Linked DNA regions of Caenorhabditis elegans. The protein of the gene in region 1 purifies or fractionates together with the protein of each later gene. This does not show direct contact. Each region holds a gene or a part of one and is shown in the gene's direction. Other genes may lie near its edges.

Region 1 (3,838 bases):
CCGAAAGTTGCCGAAAAATCGGTCATCGGCAACTTTCAGGCAATTTTTCTGCTCTTTTTCCAATTTTTCCACTAAAAATAATGTTATTTTCAGTAAAAACAAGTGAATTTCTATGTTTTGAGACTGATTTTATTGAAAAATTTGGGAAGTACAGGCTTTTTGTAGAATTTTCCGAAAATAATTGAGAACAGGAATATTCACCTTATTATATACTAAAAACCGCGGAAAAATCTGATTTTTAATGTTTTTTTATAAAAAACCTGCAAAAATTCATTTTCCGAGCTTATCTACAAAAAATTCTATTTTGCCGCATTCTCTCGGTTTATATGAAAATAACACACTTTTCAGCAGAAATATTGGAGAAAATGCCCAAAAATTGCCTGAAAGTTGCATTTTTCTGCGTTTTTTTCCACTTTTTCCACTAAAAACAATGCTATTTTCAGATAAACCAAGTGAATTTTCACTGAAAAACGTGGGAAACACAGGCTTTTCCGCTGGAAAATATCTTGCGCGTAATTTTCCGCGAAAATCCGCTCAAAATATTACCATTATTGAACACAACCAACGGCTGCTGCACAATAACCACATTATTAGTTCGTCTCTTGATAAGATCAGCGATTGTGGATATTTTTCCGTGAAGAGCCAACAAATCTCGATGATGACCGACTCTTGAGCGCAGCCAGCCGATTAAACCGCCAATTTCCTTCTCCAAATTCGGAAGTGAGCTGAGATAAGGCATGTGAATTGAGAAGGCGATTTGAGCCCATCGGATGGTTGGACGAATGCTGGAAAATCAATAAATTAGGAGGAATTAGTACTAAAAATTCGATTTACTCTGCAGCATTCCTCGTTTTCAAGCGAGATTCGATGATTTTGAGCAATGGCAAGACCTGCATCGGCTGGAGATCACGGAGGGTAGCGTGAATAATTTCAGAATTCAAATTTCTAATGACTGAGTCGATTTTTGCACTATCATTAGCCATTATTCCCTGAGTAAGCAGAACACATTGTGATCCACCGCCGCTACCACTCGTTTTTCCCTTTTTGAGTTCAGAAGTTGGCCTGAAAATCGGAAATAATTGAATATTATCGAAAATCCACCAATAATCCTACGTGGCTGGCTCTTTTTCACGATCTCCGAGCGGTTTGTTGGCCTCTTTCTCCGATTCACTCAGTTTTTTCCCATTTCGAAGCGAACCGTTAATATGCGAATGCCCATTTACTACAGGGGACTCGATTTTCTCAGGAGTTGCAGGAGATGTAACTGCCGCCACATTTGATTTCCTGGCTTTCCGTTCTCGAGCCATTTTCTGGAAACTGCAAAAAAATATTGGAAAATTCGATTTTAAGGCCATTTTACGCACAATAATCGCAAAAAAGATACATTTCACGGTAAAAAAGCTTTAAAAACTAATAAGAACAATAAAAAATCAATAAAATACGCCTGAAAACCATGAAAAACTCTTCAAAAACGCCTGGAAATAAGGAAAATAAAGATTAAAAATTTTGCACCGCAAACGCGCAAGCGACGAGAAATGCGTCAGTGACGGGGTTGGCGCGGCAAATTAACCCCGCGAATTTTGAACGTGACCCCTTCATTCGGTGGATTTTGGGCCCAAAATTTGCGATTTTCTCTTATTTCCATTTCATTTGCGGCAGTTTTTTCCGGAAAATACACGAAACTGGCTTATTTCAACATGAAAATCCAACTTTTTTAAGCGAAAATTGTCTAAAATTGAAATAAAAATGCAGAAAACGGGTTTGTCTATCTGAAAATAATGTTTTACGGCATTTTTCGGCAAACTGCAAGCTTTTTAACAAAAATGAGTTTTATTTTCAAATAGAAAAACCCGTTTTCTATCAATTTTAGATCAAAAAAGTTGGATTTTCATATTAAAATAAGCCATTTCTTTGTTTTCAACGTTATTTTCTCATTTTTAATCACTAATTCATTTCAGAATGTCTCAAAAATCAAACGACACCACATTCTCGGTCAGAGCCGCGCTCTTCGCATCACCCGTCGGCTCATCATCAGCAGTTCCAAAGAAGAAAGTGGCTCGAGAGGTGCCACGTGCAGGGCCGCCAGTTTTTGCCCTCGAGCACGATGTTTCGGAAGTCACCGACAGAAATAAAGACGGCACCTTTCTGGCTGCAGACGCGTGCGCTAGTGGCCCTACTTTGAAGGTTCCAGACGAAACACAAGGTTGCCCAGAAACTTTCAGTGTTTCGGAACACGAAGATGACGACGACGTTGAGCCGATGGAAGTTGATGGAACCATCGTTCCGTCGCCCCAGCGAGCAACGCCGACACGTGGCGTAACTCCTTGCGAAAAATCGACGACTCCACGCAGAAGATCCTCGAGAAAGTCGATGCCAACGCCTGGGAAGCGTCTGTTCTTCACCAGCAAAGACACTACGAACGAGGATCGCAAGGCTGATGACTCGACGCAACTGGAGCTTCTGATGGCAAAGATTCCGCAGGAGATGTCGGGTTACATGAAAAAGTTGGCCACCGACATCAAAGAGGTAGTATTATCGATTTTTAACTTTACATTTAAATCTAAAATTTTCATTTTCAGATGAGCCAATACGATGCACAGCTGGCGCGGAATATCGACGACATGGAAGCGGTTTTCAAATCCCGCGAAACTAAGCTCAAGTCAGCTATTGAAATCGCCAAGGACAGCTTCATCTCGTCCGCTCTGCCTCTTCGCCTCGAGACCCTGGACATGACTCTGCGTAAAGAAGAATCGCCAAATGATATCGTTGCGAGACTTCACGGAAGTTTTCTCGACAAAACCCAGGATGCCGGAAACGTGAATACTGCACAAAAGGAGAACCAGCAGCTGGAGGATGAGCGCGGGATGCTGGTGAGAGTTTCAAATTATTTAAATATGATTTTTAAAAATAAAAATACAATATTATATTTCCAGGAAGAAAAGCTGGAGAGTCTCAACAAGATCAAGAGAGAGAAGGATGAATTTCTGGCGAAAATGCGAAAAGAGGAAGAGGAAGCGCTCGCTCGCCGGGAGGAAATCAAGCAGGGCTTCGAGCGAATCGATGCTCTAATGAGCAAAATCAAGCCGATTCCAATTTTTGAATTCTGATTTCTGATTTCTCACGCTCTGTATAATATTCTATTTCTGACACAATTGATTTCATAAATACATGTATAATATTTTATTCATAGCCTAGGTCTTGCTTATTAAGTGTCAATTTCATTACGTGTACTTTAATTATTGGTTTTGAGTATCTGAAGTTGAGATCCTAGCTGCTTTGGTCCTTTATAAATATATGTTTCTTTAATTTGAGTTGCTATCGCTATCGAAGGTCGTCCTCTTCCTCCTCATTTGCATGTTTTTCTAGCTTCTTCCCCATTAGTTTCCCGCTGACTCCACCGTCGACGAGGTTCTCGAAAACCACGTCGCCATTGTTTCGAAAACAGGAAAATGGCATTTCGCGAAGTGTTGTGAGACCACACTGGAATTTTATTAGTTTTTGAAGCTTTTAGATCGAAAATTCATCGAGGCACCACGGATTCAAGTGCCAACGCAAAGAAACGGGCCAGATCCGATATCCCACCGGTTCTAGATTTCGTGGTGCCTCAATTGGTCTTGCCACGTGGTCAAAGGTCTCGCCACGCTTCCGATGTGGTGTGTGTGCCTTTAAACACGGGTACTGTATTTTTTATAGGTTTTCTGACTTTTCGCTCTATTTTTTTCGTAAAAAGCGGAAATTTTATTGAATAAGAAACTACTATCCTTGCTGAAAATATTCTGAGAAGCCACAGCAGTTGCAACGGTTGCCACGTACTCGCAATCTTCCTTCACAGCATTTT
Region 2 (3,569 bases), on another chromosome or scaffold:
AAAGGAAATTATTTGTAGATTTGGAAGCGATAAATTCAAGATTAAGGTGTTTTTAGTGAAATTTTGAAATTCAAGTATTTATTTCAAATTTGCAGCTATTCAAGAAACAAAAAATAGGAAGCCATGTAACACTGATCGACTCTATTTCATTTCTCGGATTTTTGCCTGAAATCGAGCTCTGCCGTCAGGGATTCCTGGGAAGCAAACGATCAAATAAGCTGAAAATGGACATTACAACAGATTCTAAACTTGGAAATAAGATTCTTTTTTCCTTATCACAGTACTTGTTAAACGAAACGAAACGTCCTCAAACTGCTCTTTTCTCGTTCTCTTCAAAACCGAAACTTCGTGGATTCTGTATCATGGTGGCGTATGAGAGTGGTCCGTTCTGGGAGTACGGATTTCGTAATGGAACCTCTGAAAAATCTCTTTTTAAAAGATTTTTGGGATTAAAATTTCGAAAAAATTGGACAATTTCTCCAATTTTTGGTAAAATATTCGATTTTGAATTTTCGAATCAGCCAAAACTAGGAGTTTTAGCTGAAATTAGCCACTTTTTCGAAATTTTTAACCACTCAAAAAAAAATTTTGAGATTTTCTTTGGCAATCTCATTACAAAATTTGTTTTTTTTTTGGCAAATTTGTAAAATCCAACTGTAAAATCCAATTTCAGAAAACGATGAAACATCAATCACCCTGATTCAACTCAAAGCATCTCTGGGAAAATGTCTCTGGAAAACCCTGAAATTTGTAAATCAGGTCAGCTTTTTCTGGTTTTTGTTTGAGAATAAAATCAAATTTTTCAGTCAGGTGAACATTCTAGACCGCTTCCCGACGACTCATACGAGCAAATTGCACCGATAGAACGGAAGCAGCTGAAACGAAGATTGTCTCGAATCGAACGGATCGCTTCTTCAGTTGAAGAAAAAAGAGCACAATTTGAGGCTTTCGCCAGGGAATATGACGCTTTGGATGCTCGAGACGCCTTCATGAAGTTCACTTCCACGTGGCAAACGGATCAGGGACTTTTGACAGCGCCCACGCCCTTCGAAGATGATAATAATAATAAATGATTTATTTTTTGAGATTTTTAGAGGATCGAATTTTAGAATAAAGCACTTGGAATTTATAGGTATTTAGGTTTGTTTCGTTGTTTTATTTATTGGTTTACAGCCAAAATTACTTTTTTTTTAACTTTTTAATTCCTCCTATTGATTACCCAGGAACTGCGATTTTCCACCGAAAATACGGTACCAGGTCTCGACACGACAATTTTGTGCTGAATGCGATAGGAATTTCCCAGAGAATCGAAAAATATGCCTTTTTTGATTTTATAAATTTTTTCCGATTTTTAGAGTTAAAAAAAAAAAGGAAAAAGCGACAATTTTCGACTTTTGATTTTGAGAAAATTCCAATTTTTGGATAATTTTCCGTCATTTTTTATTTTTTAAAGACTTTCTTTATTTATTTTTCATAATTTTCATCCAGTTTTTAACTAACAAAACTATTGTCACACAGAAAACCATGAAAAATCGATAAAATATCCGCAGCGACAAAAGTTTGAAATTACAGTAATCCTTAAAAGCGCACACCCGTTTCATTCAACAAATAATTGTCGTTTCGAGACCAGAAACAGTATTTTTGGAGGAAAATTGCAAAATTTTTACGCCTGTTTAATAATAAATATAAATATGTATCCATGTTCCATGTCCGCAATGCGACGTGAGCGTGTATGCACACCTCACCTCCCGCGAACCAATAATCTTCAAAAACAGTTTTTCGCCCTCATTTCTTGATTTAATCCTGAACATTTATTCTTTAAAAATTCAATTCAGAAACTAAAAATGGAGAGCGAATTGTCGGGAATCTCTAATGAAAATCAAATCTCGTTTTTCGGATTTTCGGCCGGTTCGTTCAGCGATTCCAGTGAGTTTTATTGAATTTTCGAACGTTTTTTTGCGGAAAAATCAGAAATCTTTCAGTTTTCAATATTTACGTCGACGCATGGGAAGAAGTTTGCAGCAATGAGTTTAAGAACTCATTGAAAAAGGTTTTTTTTTCAAAAAAGAAATTTAATTTTAAAAAATTTAATTTTCAGCTCACCGACAAAGACCGTCTCTGCTTGCTATCCTTCCCATTCAGCGACAAAACTAACGAGAAAGCATTCAAAATGATGAAGGTTTGACATATTTCTCGATTAAATATCTGAATTTATGCCAATTTTTTTCAGAGATTCTGCGTCACAAATATCTTCAGAATTCCCGCCTCTGTGACTCTTCCAGAATGCGTAAGAATTGCCTTTTTTCGGAAATTATTTATTTAAAAAATCATTTTTCAGAAGAAAATGCTCATCGCGTCGGCCAAGGAGCACAAAAGTCTGAAACAGGTCGAGAAGGAGTTCGACGAGAAATTGGAGAAAATTCGACAGGTAAATAAAAATAAATGAGGAACCTATCAGAATTTTTTTTTTCTTCACTACTAAATGGACTTAAAAATGCGGAAAATATACTGAAAATAGCTTAAAACTGTCCAAAATAGACTACAATGACTGAAAAAGGCTGCAAGTTGAGTAAAAATGACCGCGACTAGACTGAAAATCGTCAAAAAATTCAAGAAAAATTGCTTAATTTTAGAAACCTGCTAAAATCGCCAGTTTTTGCATCTAACCTTTCCAATTTTCACATAAAAGCTTCAAATTCCAAATGTTCAGCTCCGCATCAAACTGGCAAAACGACATGACGAGCTAGAAGCAGTGAACAATGCTATTGAAGTGCTCCATGTGATGGAGAAGAGCCAAGAGCAGCTTATAAGCCAGAAGAGAATTGTCCCCGATAGCCCAACACGAATGTCTCCAGTTTAACCTTATTTGTTCGAAAATCGATATTTTAAATATTTGATTTCTCTTTATTTTCTTTTTTTTTAATCCTATGCTAATTTTTTTCTTGAGCTCAAATTTGAGTGCTTATGAAGCTACACATTTACCAACTTAAACAACTATATAAAAATAAATTTATTTTTGAGAAAAATCGTGAAAAGGTACATGAAAAATAGCATACAATCATTCCACCGAACATCTTTGTGACCCGTATTTCATCGTCTAGAAACACAAAATCAAATCATTTTGAAATAAATACACAGAACAAAAAGAATAATCACAGCAATTACAAGGATCGAGAGGAAGTACAGAACACGTTTTTTCGACGAAATACACGATTTTTTGTCATCCAAAGTTTTCCCGTCGTCTTTATCAATTTCCAGGCTGATCTCGGAGCCCATGCCGAGCTGCTTGATTTTGTGCTCGTGCTCATCCATATGATTGCACGCACAGCCGAAGCAGAACGTGTGCTCTCCGCTTTCTCGGCGATCTTCCCAATTTGCATAGTTTTGGAGCATGCATGTCGGGCAGTAGTAGACGCTGGAATTAAATTTTGAGAAAAAATTATTTTTTGTTTTTTTTTAAGCTGCGATGTTCCTTTTTTTTTCTTAAAATTTTGTGAGATTTCATGAAAAAATCTTTAATTCTTTTAATTTTTATTACTAGCTACGATTTTAAAGGCGCACACTCGTAT
Region 3 (4,065 bases), on another chromosome or scaffold:
AACCGAAAAATTTTCGCTTTTCGATTTAAAAAAAAGGGAAGAGCGGGATTAGCAAACAACTGGAAATTCTTGAGTGAATAGTATTTTTTGAAAGTTTAAAGTAAATTTTTATCAACAAATCTTCACCCTAAATGAAAATTATTGTTTGATTTAATTTTTTCCCCAAAAATATTTCAACAAACATTTTGCTTTTAATTTCTTCCGATATTTCGGTTGACCACAATTAAAATTTTAAAACACTCACCTGAAGCCAAAGTACTTGTAGCCACAAGAATAACAATATTTTTCTCCCGAAATCCTAGTTCAATGCATTCTCTTTCCTCCATCGTCAATCCAGCATGATGATATGCTACTCCCCATGCAAGTGTTGACATAACATTCCGATCCTTGCAACCATTCCGTTCCAATCCATGCTTTATAAATAATAGTCCATTGGCTCGTTCTTTTAATATTTCCAACAATGAGCTGTCGGTTTTATTGATCTCATGGAATCTCGACGCAATATTCAAAGCAGTCTTCTCGGCATCAAGTTTCGAAGAAATCATTACCAAAGTCTGAGAATTGCGGCGAAAACTCTCTTCGGTAAGCAATATTAATGGATCTTCAGAGAATTCTCTTAGAACTTTGTTATCTCCAGATTTCCTCAACTCCGAACCAATTACAATATGATTTTGTAGAACAATTGGTCGAAATCTTGCTTCGAAAACTTTCGCACCGTCCAGCCATTTGCCTATTCGATAAAGTTCTGGAATAGTTGCACTCATTCCGATAATTCTAACTTTTTCCAGTGCAGATTGGTTCCAGAGCAAAACTTTCGAGAGCATGTGCTCAATGTGTGCACCACGAGACGAATCGAAAACCATGTGCATTTCATCAACGACTATCATTCCTGAAAGCTACTTTTTGTGAAAATTTTAAATTAAAATCGATTTATCTAACCAATTTCCTCAAACCAATCTTCTGATAATGCTCGATTTGTCAAACTTGCTGCTTTTTCGATGGTACAAACTGCCCCAAGCCACTCATTTGGATTTGAGGCCTGTGGACCAATGAAGCCACAGACAGAAATGTCATCTCGTCTCCAACACCGTTGAATTTGATGAAGTTTCTCTCGAGCCACGGAGATATAAGGAAGTACGAAGAGTACCTTTCTACCAGTTGAAGCGACTTTCCATGCTGAAAATTACAGTTTTTAAACATTTATTCTTTAAACCAGATAAAATAATACATAAAAGTTCAGCTACAATGCTTTTCCCAGCACTTGTTGGCGCACTGAATATCAAGTGTTGATCTTCAAATTGTCTTGCCTCATTCAACACATCAATCTGCCAATCGAACAGCGCTTTGATGTTCTGAAATTAAAAAAATTTTGTCCCTATTTCATCACAGCGATTTATGTTACCTGCTCTGCGTAATAATCGATGATTTTTGAAGAAACCCATTCTGGAAATCTACAGGAAGCCTCGTCCATCTTGTTTCATACTAAAAACTCTGATTTCAGACTGAAAAACATGTTTTTTTCAGCGAAGAAAACTAAAATTTGTTTGTGGCCGCGGTGGCCTAGTTTTCACGGCCGAGAAATGTCACATGTTTTGGCGCGCTCTTCGGCGAATTCAAATAAACTTTTTTGTTTTTAACAATTTCTAACTTTATTTTTGTGTTTTTAGAACTGAAATTCCATTTTTCAGGAGAAATGTCAAACGTTGTACTAATTGTGTATGATCCGCGGATGATTTCAAAGTATCTTGGTCAAAAATTGCATATGGGCCTTGTCGCCGATGACATTATCAAGCCAACCGTAAGTTTGAACAGAATATTGAATTCATCAGCACAAATAACCCGATTTCAGGCAGAAATAGCGCAACAAATATTTGCTAATTTTGTGAGGCTTGTGTTAAATGTGTCGGAAAGCTCGCTGACGACCCTTCCGCTGTCCGCCAACTGTGATTATGATCCAGAATTGCATAAAAAGAGCATTCCTATCATTATTCTCTTCCAATGCATGTAAGATTTTAATTTTAATGTTAGATTTGCTGAAATATTTTTTCAGGAAAGCATTTATCAAAGATAATTCTGGCAACAAGCTGGACTTGACGATGTGCGATCTCGTGACACCTGCAAAACACGAACATCGATTCAGAAAGCTGACAAGTTTTCTTGTAGATTTTCTGAAACTTCACGAATTGGCCACTCCAGCGTTCAATGAAATTAGCGAAGAGTTCAGTGATCGAAAGTTCGAAATGGAAAAGATTCGGGAAGAGTTGTTAGAAGCCGAGAAGAAGAAAAATGATCTTCTCGCGAAACAAAGCATAAGAAAACGTCATGAGCATGAATTAATCAACGAACAGAGCAATGCGAAGGCAGAACTTAAAAATGTTGTGAACGAATATACCGAAACTCGTCAAATTAATGAAGAACTCGACAAGCAGAAAGAAGAAGCTATTCTGCACATTCAAGCCCTCGAAAAGGAAATGCTAACTGGTAAAAAGACAATTGAGCATTTGAATGAAGAAGTTCTGACATCGCCGGAACAGCTGAAACAAGAAATGGAGGAAAGGAAACGTCACATTGAAGAGCTCCGCGATTGTCTTGAATCATCAAAGTACTGATATATCTTCAGTCTCTCCAAAAATTCAAAATAAAAGTAATTATTTTCAGAAAAGGCCTTCAAGCAAAACTCGAGGCTCGTGAAATTTGCATCAACTCGGAGAAGAACGTGCCAGTGATTATTGAGAAGATCCATCAGTGGACTGAAGTTCGAGAAGTTATCATTGACCTGATCGATGTTGAAAGTGAGAATCTTCGAAAGCTCAAGGAAATGGAGGAGCAATTGGATTTTATGATGAAGGAGATGGAAACGGCACAAAAGCGACTCGTCGAGCAGTCGGAGACTCATGAACAATTGCGTATAGAACACACGCAGAAAAGTGAAGAGCGTCAGCGTAGAATTGAGGAGATTACCGAGTGAGGAATTTATTTGATACTTTGAAAACATTTTTTTAAACGATGTAAATCTTTCAGGCAAATCGCAAATTTGAAAACTAGTCAGCCAGATGTGTCACAGGAAATTGCTAAAAAGGTTTTTGTCAGATCAATCTTCATAAAACTCACCAACATTTTTTTCAGAAGCAAGAACTCCTCGCTCTAAAAAACGCACACAGTGAGACGATTTCCCAAATCACCAACTCTTGCCAAGATGCTGTTGCAAAATTCGCAAAACTTAATGCAATGTTCAAAGAAACCCAGAAAGTAGCTTTTGAGAAGAACACTGCAGCTGCACGTGAAATGGAACGTCTAAAAAGCTCTCTTACCGGACGCCTTCTGAGTGATTACACATTCGGATCATCGACAATCGACGCCGGAGAGAACACGGAAAATTGTGATCCACAACCTAACGATTCGAGTTTTTCCGTTTTCAAATAGAATGACTCAACTCGAAAATTTCACTTCATTTGATCTCTATTCAATGTAAATGTTATGCTTTCTTCCATACCAATAACAAAATTTTAACTGAGTCTAAATAAATCATGTGGTCTTTATTTTCAAATGTTTTCTTTTCATTCCCAGGCTCTAGAAATTTCACACCAATTTACTTTTCAGGTAAGAATTCACTCAAGTGGTATTTACGGGGAGATTATGTGCCTCTGTTTTTAATTAAAAATAAAATTAGAAATTTTGAATTTTTTGCCTTGTATTTTTTTGTTTGCGTCTTTAAGACTACAGTAAGACAAAAAGTGGGCGTGGTTTCTTATTTTGGAGAAAGCTCAAACAGGGAATAAGTGAGAGTCGGAAGTTTTGAAACGTTTTTTGAAAAAAAAATTATCTTGAAATGAAAACTTTTCCAGAAATTTTAAACTTCTCTTCGCTCATTAGCTCTACAAGTTGGAATTGTCCTTCTGAATTGAATATTATCCTACCAAAATTCTAAATAAATTTAAATAAATCGTGCGGGCCTCGAGTTATTGCATTCAACATTGACATTTTTCGTTCATTTCTCAATTTTTGTATTGTATTTCTGAAAAATTCACTCTACAAATTATGCAGTAAGCTTTTTCAAATAATGTT
Region 4 (5,805 bases), on another chromosome or scaffold:
TTATTGGTCAATATTTACAACCGATCTCATATTGTCAAATCCAATCATTGCGGCAATTGTGTGCTAACTGTCACCTGTAAAATTTGTAATTTCCTTTGTCATTTACTTTATAAAGAAAAATACCTTAATCTTCGAAAGATCACGTCCGTCAATTATCTCACTGAAAATACGACTCATCATTTGAGCCAGCTTATCTGGCCGTTCGTCAATGATTGGAATGACAGGAGGCATTGCTGCTCTGAACTTTTTGATTTTTTCAATGGTTTCTTTGGAACGATAAGGACCACTGAACACGGATACCTTGTTCTGAAATTGGATGATTAGAAGGATTTACTACAAATTTGAATATTTACTGGAGCATTTTTGACGTTCAGAAGTTCAGCTGAGAACGGTTCATCACTGGCATCCCACTCTCCTTCAGTGCATTCTGGCAGCTGTTCGCCCTTATCTGGAAATTAAACTTTGTATTGTCCAGATGCGAAAACTGTAAAATAGCTTGGAGTTGGGTTACTGTAGTCCTTAAAGCCATACGCCTGTTTTCTAACTAAAAACGCTGCCTAAAAATATTTCGGTCGTGTCGAGACCGGGCACCGTACTTCTCAGCGTAAACTAACAAAATTTCGCATCTGTGTAATATTGAAATTTCATCCTTACCATCATCAGTAATTTGAATCTTCGGCAACTGTCGAATAGATTGCTGAACACTTGGTGCTGGTAGTTCCTCTTCTTTTTCGTCTTTTTTATCTTCTTTCTTTTCTTCTTTGCTTGGTTGCTGCTCTGCCATTTTTTGCCTCTTGATTTTGATTTTATCGTTTTGAAGAATAAAATTATTTCCTTTTCAAAAGATGTTTTTTCTTAATTAAAAGATTTCGAAAAAAAAATGCAATACACGTAATTTTGAGTTTTCACTTATGGAAATGTATTTTACAAATCATTTTCAAATACAAGATGGACAACAAAAAGAAGGAAGAAAATCCTAGTAAATCTGATACTTCTATAAGCCGTGAGTAATATATATAACTTTTCGGTTTTTTTTTTAATAAAAAGTTTTAGTTCCACCAAGCTCAACTGGAGAAGCGCTTCAAAATTATACAGAATCGGAATGGAACGCATCAGATGATCCGTATTCTGCAGAACTTCTCAATGTGAAAAAGAAGCCGGTAATTTTTATTTTTACGTAGATTTTCATTAAAACTTTTCCAGAATCGAGTTAATGTGTTCTCAGCAACTGAGAAGAACATGGAAACTATAATTGTCACTGAAGAATCTCCACCACAAACTCCATTGCCTTTAAGTTGAGAAATCACAAAATTCTGGGAACTTAATTTGTATTGGTTTAGAGCCTGTCGTAGAACACCACAATTTGGCTCGATTGATTCAGAAATCATGTCAATTGCTCTTGGATAAAACTACACCAGATGGAACAGAAGTGCAAATAAAATTAGAATTCCCTGACTGGAGAGATACCGCCTGATTCTCTATGTGTTGAATAAAGCTTAACGGTTAAAAAAAAATTAATTGAAATCTGCCTGAAAAAATATCTAAATACAGTACTCACAAGAGAAACTACGGATTTTGAGAATTCGAATTTCGTAGAAAATATTTTTGCAATGTGTATCAGCTGTAATGGTACATATATTTATTTATTAATATTGAATTTTATCTAATTTTTGAAACAATTGGTTTTTTAAACTATTAAAATTGTATTATACTGCCCCAAGTTAAGGAATTACTCGTAGTGTGCGTTCTACGGAACCGGTGGTGTGTCGAGTGCAGCTTCGCTCCATTGTACAAGTTCAATTTCAAACAGAGATTTGCCGCCAAGCAAAACTGCCTTCGTTTACTTTTCACTTTTTTACTTTTCCCATTTAACGAAGTTTATGCTGCCGTTGTTTTGTTATTTTTTTAATCATAATTTATTACCATTTTTAAAACATATTTACAGCCATGTCGATGGAGCCTCGTAAGAAGCGGAACTCGATTCTCAAGGTGCGGCAAGCCGTCGAAACCATCGAGGAAACCGTCATGAACAGTGGGCCTAGTTCCACAACAACTAATCGACGAGTCAGCTTTCATAACGTGAAGCATGTCAAGTCAGTTAGAGTCAGTGAATAATTTATCAATAAAATAATTATTTCAGGCAGTATGACAGGGACCATGGTAAAATTCTTGACGCCACACCAGTTAAGGAGAAGATTACTGACACTATTGGATCAGATGGTATTTTGACGTGAGTTCCATCCTTTAACGTGAAATAATGAATACGTAAAAATCTTTTTAAGACCACGTGGCGGAAACATGGATATTTCCGAATCTCCGGCCTGCACGTCCTCATTTCAAGTGTTCGGCGGTGGTAATCTCGATAAAACTATGGATATGTCTCTCGAAACAACTATCAACGAGAACAACGAAACGGCGAGATTGTTTGAAACCACAAGAGATCCAACACTATTATACGAAAAGATCGTCGAAACCACAACAAAAGTTACCGAGCGAATTGTTAGTATGCCACTGGATGATACCTTAGCAATGTTCAATACAACGAATCAAGAAGATAAGGATATGTCAGTTGATCGTTCAGTTCTTTTCACGATTCCCAAAGTTCCGAAGCATAACGCTACAATGAATAGAACTATACCGATGGACCTCGATGAATCAAAAGCAGCGGGCGGCCAGTGCGATGAAACGGTATGTTGAATTAATAGAAGGAACCAAATTATCTTAATTTTACAGATGAATGTGTTCAATTTCACAAACTTGGAAGCCGCTGAAATGGATACGAGTAAATTAGATGAAAATAATACCATGAATGCTATCCGGATTCCGATTAATTCAAACGTCATGCCTGTAGACATGGACATCACTGAACATCACACTTTAATTGAAGAAAAGAAAAATGATACATTCGGGCCAAGTCAACTGATGGACATTTCGGCGCCACAAGTTCAAGTTAATGATACTTTGGCCATTTTCAACAGTCCGAGAGACATCTGTAATAAGGGTTTGGGTGTTCCTCAGAATCTAATAAATATCGCCTCGAACGTCGTACCTGTGGACATGGACATCACTGATCAGGCCGTATTAAACGCGGAGAAGAAAAATGATCAATTCGAGACAAGTCAGCTTATGGACATTTCTATTCCGAAAGTTCTAGTAAATGACACTATGGCGATGTTCAACAGCCCGAAACACGTCAGTAAGAGCAGCATGGATCTCGAGAAAACGATTGAAGCCGCTGACAAATCAACGAAATACCCGAGTATCGCAGATGAGGTGGAAGATTTAGACATGGATATGGATATCACTGAACAACAACCATGTGAGGCTGGTAATCAGCAGAACGACGGCTTGCAACTTCAAAAGGAGGATTTAATGGACATTTCGGTGATTCGAGATTCACCTGCAGTAAACGACACCATGGCTGTGTTCCAGAGTCCTGCCAGAGTAAAGATCGGAGCGGTAAGTTTTAAGCACACTTTCCAATAAAAATGTATTTCTTTCAGAACAACTCGATCATTGATTCGCAGAAATCTATCGTGTTCGGTGACGAAATGAGCATTGACGAGACACAAAATGATGGAACCTTGACGTTGCCAAAGTCGAATGTAGAAGTGACTACAACTAATGATGTCTACACGTCTCTCGAGCGGCAAGAGGAAAATGCTTCAGAAAACGTATCCATGATAAACGAATCTTCTGTTCATTCGGAAATCGACAAAAAGTCGTTTATGCTCATCGAAGAAGAAAGGGCTTTTATGCACTCCTCCATGATTGATGTAGCACAAAAGTTGGAAGACGATGGTTCGTCGAAGACGCCAGTCATCCTTGCTTCACAGTCAGCTTCTCTTGCCACTAAAGAACCATCAGCCCTTCACAACTCGAGTGCAACTCTCAACAATTCGATGGAATTGGACAACAATACTCTTCTTAAAACTATGCAAATTACAACGTGTGAAGACATTAGCATGGTCCATGAGTCTATTGCTGTTGAACTGAACAGTAACAAAGAGCAGGAGCAATTCGGAGATGAGACTTTGCAGAAAAATGGTAAATTTCGTTTATTCAATAACTCTATTAAAAGTATGTTTTAGATACCTCGAATACTGGCGCGAATTTCACATTCCAAGGCCATAATGAAACATCGCAAATCATGAACAATGTCGACTCGGAAGCAGTGAACACGTCCAAGATTTCAACATATTCGGCTTTCAATTTGAGCATCAACCAGTCTATCTCTAAACGACGTCGATCTCTTCTGAATTCTGCTCGTGAATCTCCTCGTCGTGTTGCGTTGGAGAATTCTATAATGTCGATGAATGGGCAAACAATGGAAGCTCTGACAGAATATCGACAGAATAAAACTATGCAGACGAGTCAAGATTCGATGCCGAGTATGAGTTTGAACGATTCGGGAAGAGATATTCTCGCGATGGTAAGAATATCTCTTTGAGTATTGAATCGAAAATGTCTTTCAGAATACATCAGTCCGCTCTCCTCATCTGAATTCTTCAAAAACTGCTGCCCCAGGAACACCATCATTGATGTCACAAAATGTACAACTTCCACCTCCATCTCCTCAATTCGAAATGCCAGACTTCGATCCAGCTGTGGTCAACGTTGTATATTTAACATCTGAAGATCCGTCCACTGAACAACATCCAGAAGCTCTCAAATTTCAGCGTATTGTTGAAAACGAGAAAATGAAAGTACAACACGAGATTGATTCTCTGAATTCAACCAATCAACTTTCTGCTGAGAAAATTGATATGTTGAAGACTAAGGAGCTCTTGAAGTTTAGTCATGATGAGCGAGAAGCGATTATGATTGCAAGAAAAGACGCGGAAATCAAGTTTTTGGAGCTTCGTCTGAAATTTGCACTCGAGAAAAAAATTGAAAGTGACCAGGAAATTGCTGAACTAGAACAAGGAAATTCGAAAATGGCTGAGCAGCTAAGAGGTCTCGATAAGATGGCTGTCGTTCAAAAAGAACTAGAAAAGCTGAGAAGTCTTCCTCCATCACGCGAAGAGAGCGGGAAAATCCGAAAGGAGTGGATGGAGATGAAGCAATGGGAATTCGACCAGAAAATGAAAGCACTCCGAAATGTACGCTCAAACATGATTGCACTTCGTTCAGAGAAAAATGCTCTCGAAATGAAAGTCGCGGAAGAACACGAGAAGTTTGCCCAGAGGAACGATTTGAAGAAAAGTCGAATGCTGGTGTTCTCTAAGGCTGTTAAGAAAATTGTGAACTTCTAGTGAGTTTAATATCGAAAAATTAACAGTCAAAAATTATAATTTTAGATGCCGCCTTCACCCTTCCCTTGCATCAGGCCTACAATACTTCTGATGCTCATATAATTCTTTACCTAATGTGCCATATATTTTAGTTTTTTTTTCATCTAAAAATACCCATTGTGCATCAACCGCACTTGCTGTATTTCCTTCAAGATGTTTACCTTTTCCCCTATACATTTATGCCTCAGAGCAATCACAAAGTTATGTTTTTATTCCTAGTTCATTCTCAATCAATCTAAAGGAGACTTATGGTTTGAATAGTCAAATGAATAAATATTCCTTGTAACCAAATTTTTTTGTAGCCGTGTTTTTTTTTGTAAAATGAAGTTATTGTGCGTTTAAAAATCGGAGTTTAAAAAATCGGAGCTTCAGTCTCCTCTCTTAAAAATAATTTTAGCTTACTATTTACTACTGTAGTTCCAAATAGAATATACATAATAAGGCGGGTAGGCAAGAGTTTGACACCTCGGGAGGTACATAGGTACGTAGGTGAGCAGTAAGTATACAAATT

What was found.
Region 2: the proteins of knl-3 (region 1) and mis-12 purify together in Caenorhabditis elegans (affinity purification with mass spectrometry; 2 studies listed by BioGRID). This does not show direct contact.
Region 3: the proteins of knl-3 (region 1) and him-10 purify together in Caenorhabditis elegans (affinity purification with mass spectrometry, with the first as the bait; one study listed by BioGRID). This does not show direct contact.
Region 4: the proteins of knl-3 (region 1) and knl-1 purify together in Caenorhabditis elegans (affinity purification with mass spectrometry; 2 studies listed by BioGRID). This does not show direct contact.

What each region holds. Positions count from the first base shown.
Region 1 is NC_003283.11:1,867,255-1,871,092, forward strand, and holds knl-3 (Kinetochore NuLl), read left to right. Parts: upstream 1-1,958; 5' UTR 1,959-1,959; coding exon 1,960-2,526; intron 2,527-2,579; coding exon 2,580-2,870; intron 2,871-2,933; coding exon 2,934-3,107; 3' UTR 3,108-3,304; downstream 3,305-3,838. Other genes in the region: T10B5.3 (Small-subunit processome Utp12 domain-containing protein), read right to left, coding at 547-785, 835-1,062, 1,114-1,307; T10B5.4 (aralkylamine N-acetyltransferase), read right to left, coding at 3,322-3,480, 3,762-3,838.
Region 2 is NC_003279.8:3,603,970-3,607,538, reverse strand, and holds mis-12 (uncharacterized protein), read left to right. Parts: upstream 1-1,835; 5' UTR 1,836-1,844; coding exon 1,845-1,926; intron 1,927-1,982; coding exon 1,983-2,050; intron 2,051-2,098; coding exon 2,099-2,179; intron 2,180-2,230; coding exon 2,231-2,287; intron 2,288-2,338; coding exon 2,339-2,428; intron 2,429-2,633; coding exon of another isoform or gene 2,634-2,666; exon of another isoform or gene 2,667-2,710; coding exon 2,711-2,860; 3' UTR 2,861-3,024; downstream 3,025-3,569. Other genes in the region: Y47G6A.25 (uncharacterized protein), read left to right, coding at 1-46, 96-381, 674-759, 807-1,073; Y47G6A.31 (RING-type domain-containing protein), read right to left, coding at 3,112-3,415.
Region 3 is NC_003281.10:5,801,572-5,805,636, forward strand, and holds him-10 (Kinetochore protein Nuf2 homolog), read left to right. Parts: upstream 1-1,688; 5' UTR 1,689-1,693; coding exon 1,694-1,798; intron 1,799-1,849; coding exon 1,850-2,004; intron 2,005-2,050; coding exon 2,051-2,602; intron 2,603-2,658; coding exon 2,659-2,964; intron 2,965-3,021; coding exon 3,022-3,079; intron 3,080-3,126; coding exon 3,127-3,423; 3' UTR 3,424-3,541; downstream 3,542-4,065. Other genes in the region: polq-1 (DNA polymerase theta), read right to left, coding at 245-889, 940-1,176, 1,229-1,352, 1,403-1,471; R12B2.3 (Ras-associating domain-containing protein), read left to right, coding at 4,039-4,043. UniProt on the Caenorhabditis elegans protein: Acts as a component of the essential kinetochore-associated NDC80 complex, which is required for chromosome segregation in mitosis and meiosis and spindle checkpoint activity.
Region 4 is NC_003281.10:8,248,689-8,254,493, forward strand, and holds knl-1 (Outer kinetochore KNL1 complex subunit knl-1), read left to right. Parts: upstream 1-1,943; 5' UTR 1,944-1,947; coding exon 1,948-2,093; intron 2,094-2,140; coding exon 2,141-2,230; intron 2,231-2,282; coding exon 2,283-2,688; intron 2,689-2,733; coding exon 2,734-3,459; intron 3,460-3,503; coding exon 3,504-4,047; intron 4,048-4,091; coding exon 4,092-4,432; intron 4,433-4,475; coding exon 4,476-5,255; downstream 5,256-5,805. Other genes in the region: C02F5.10 (uncharacterized protein), read right to left, coding at 45-74, 124-306, 354-448, 655-784; C02F5.2 (DUF5356 domain-containing protein), read left to right, coding at 949-1,003, 1,054-1,160, 1,204-1,294, 1,341-1,474. UniProt on the Caenorhabditis elegans protein: Acts as a component of the outer kinetochore KNL1 complex that serves as a docking point for spindle assembly checkpoint components and mediates microtubule-kinetochore interactions.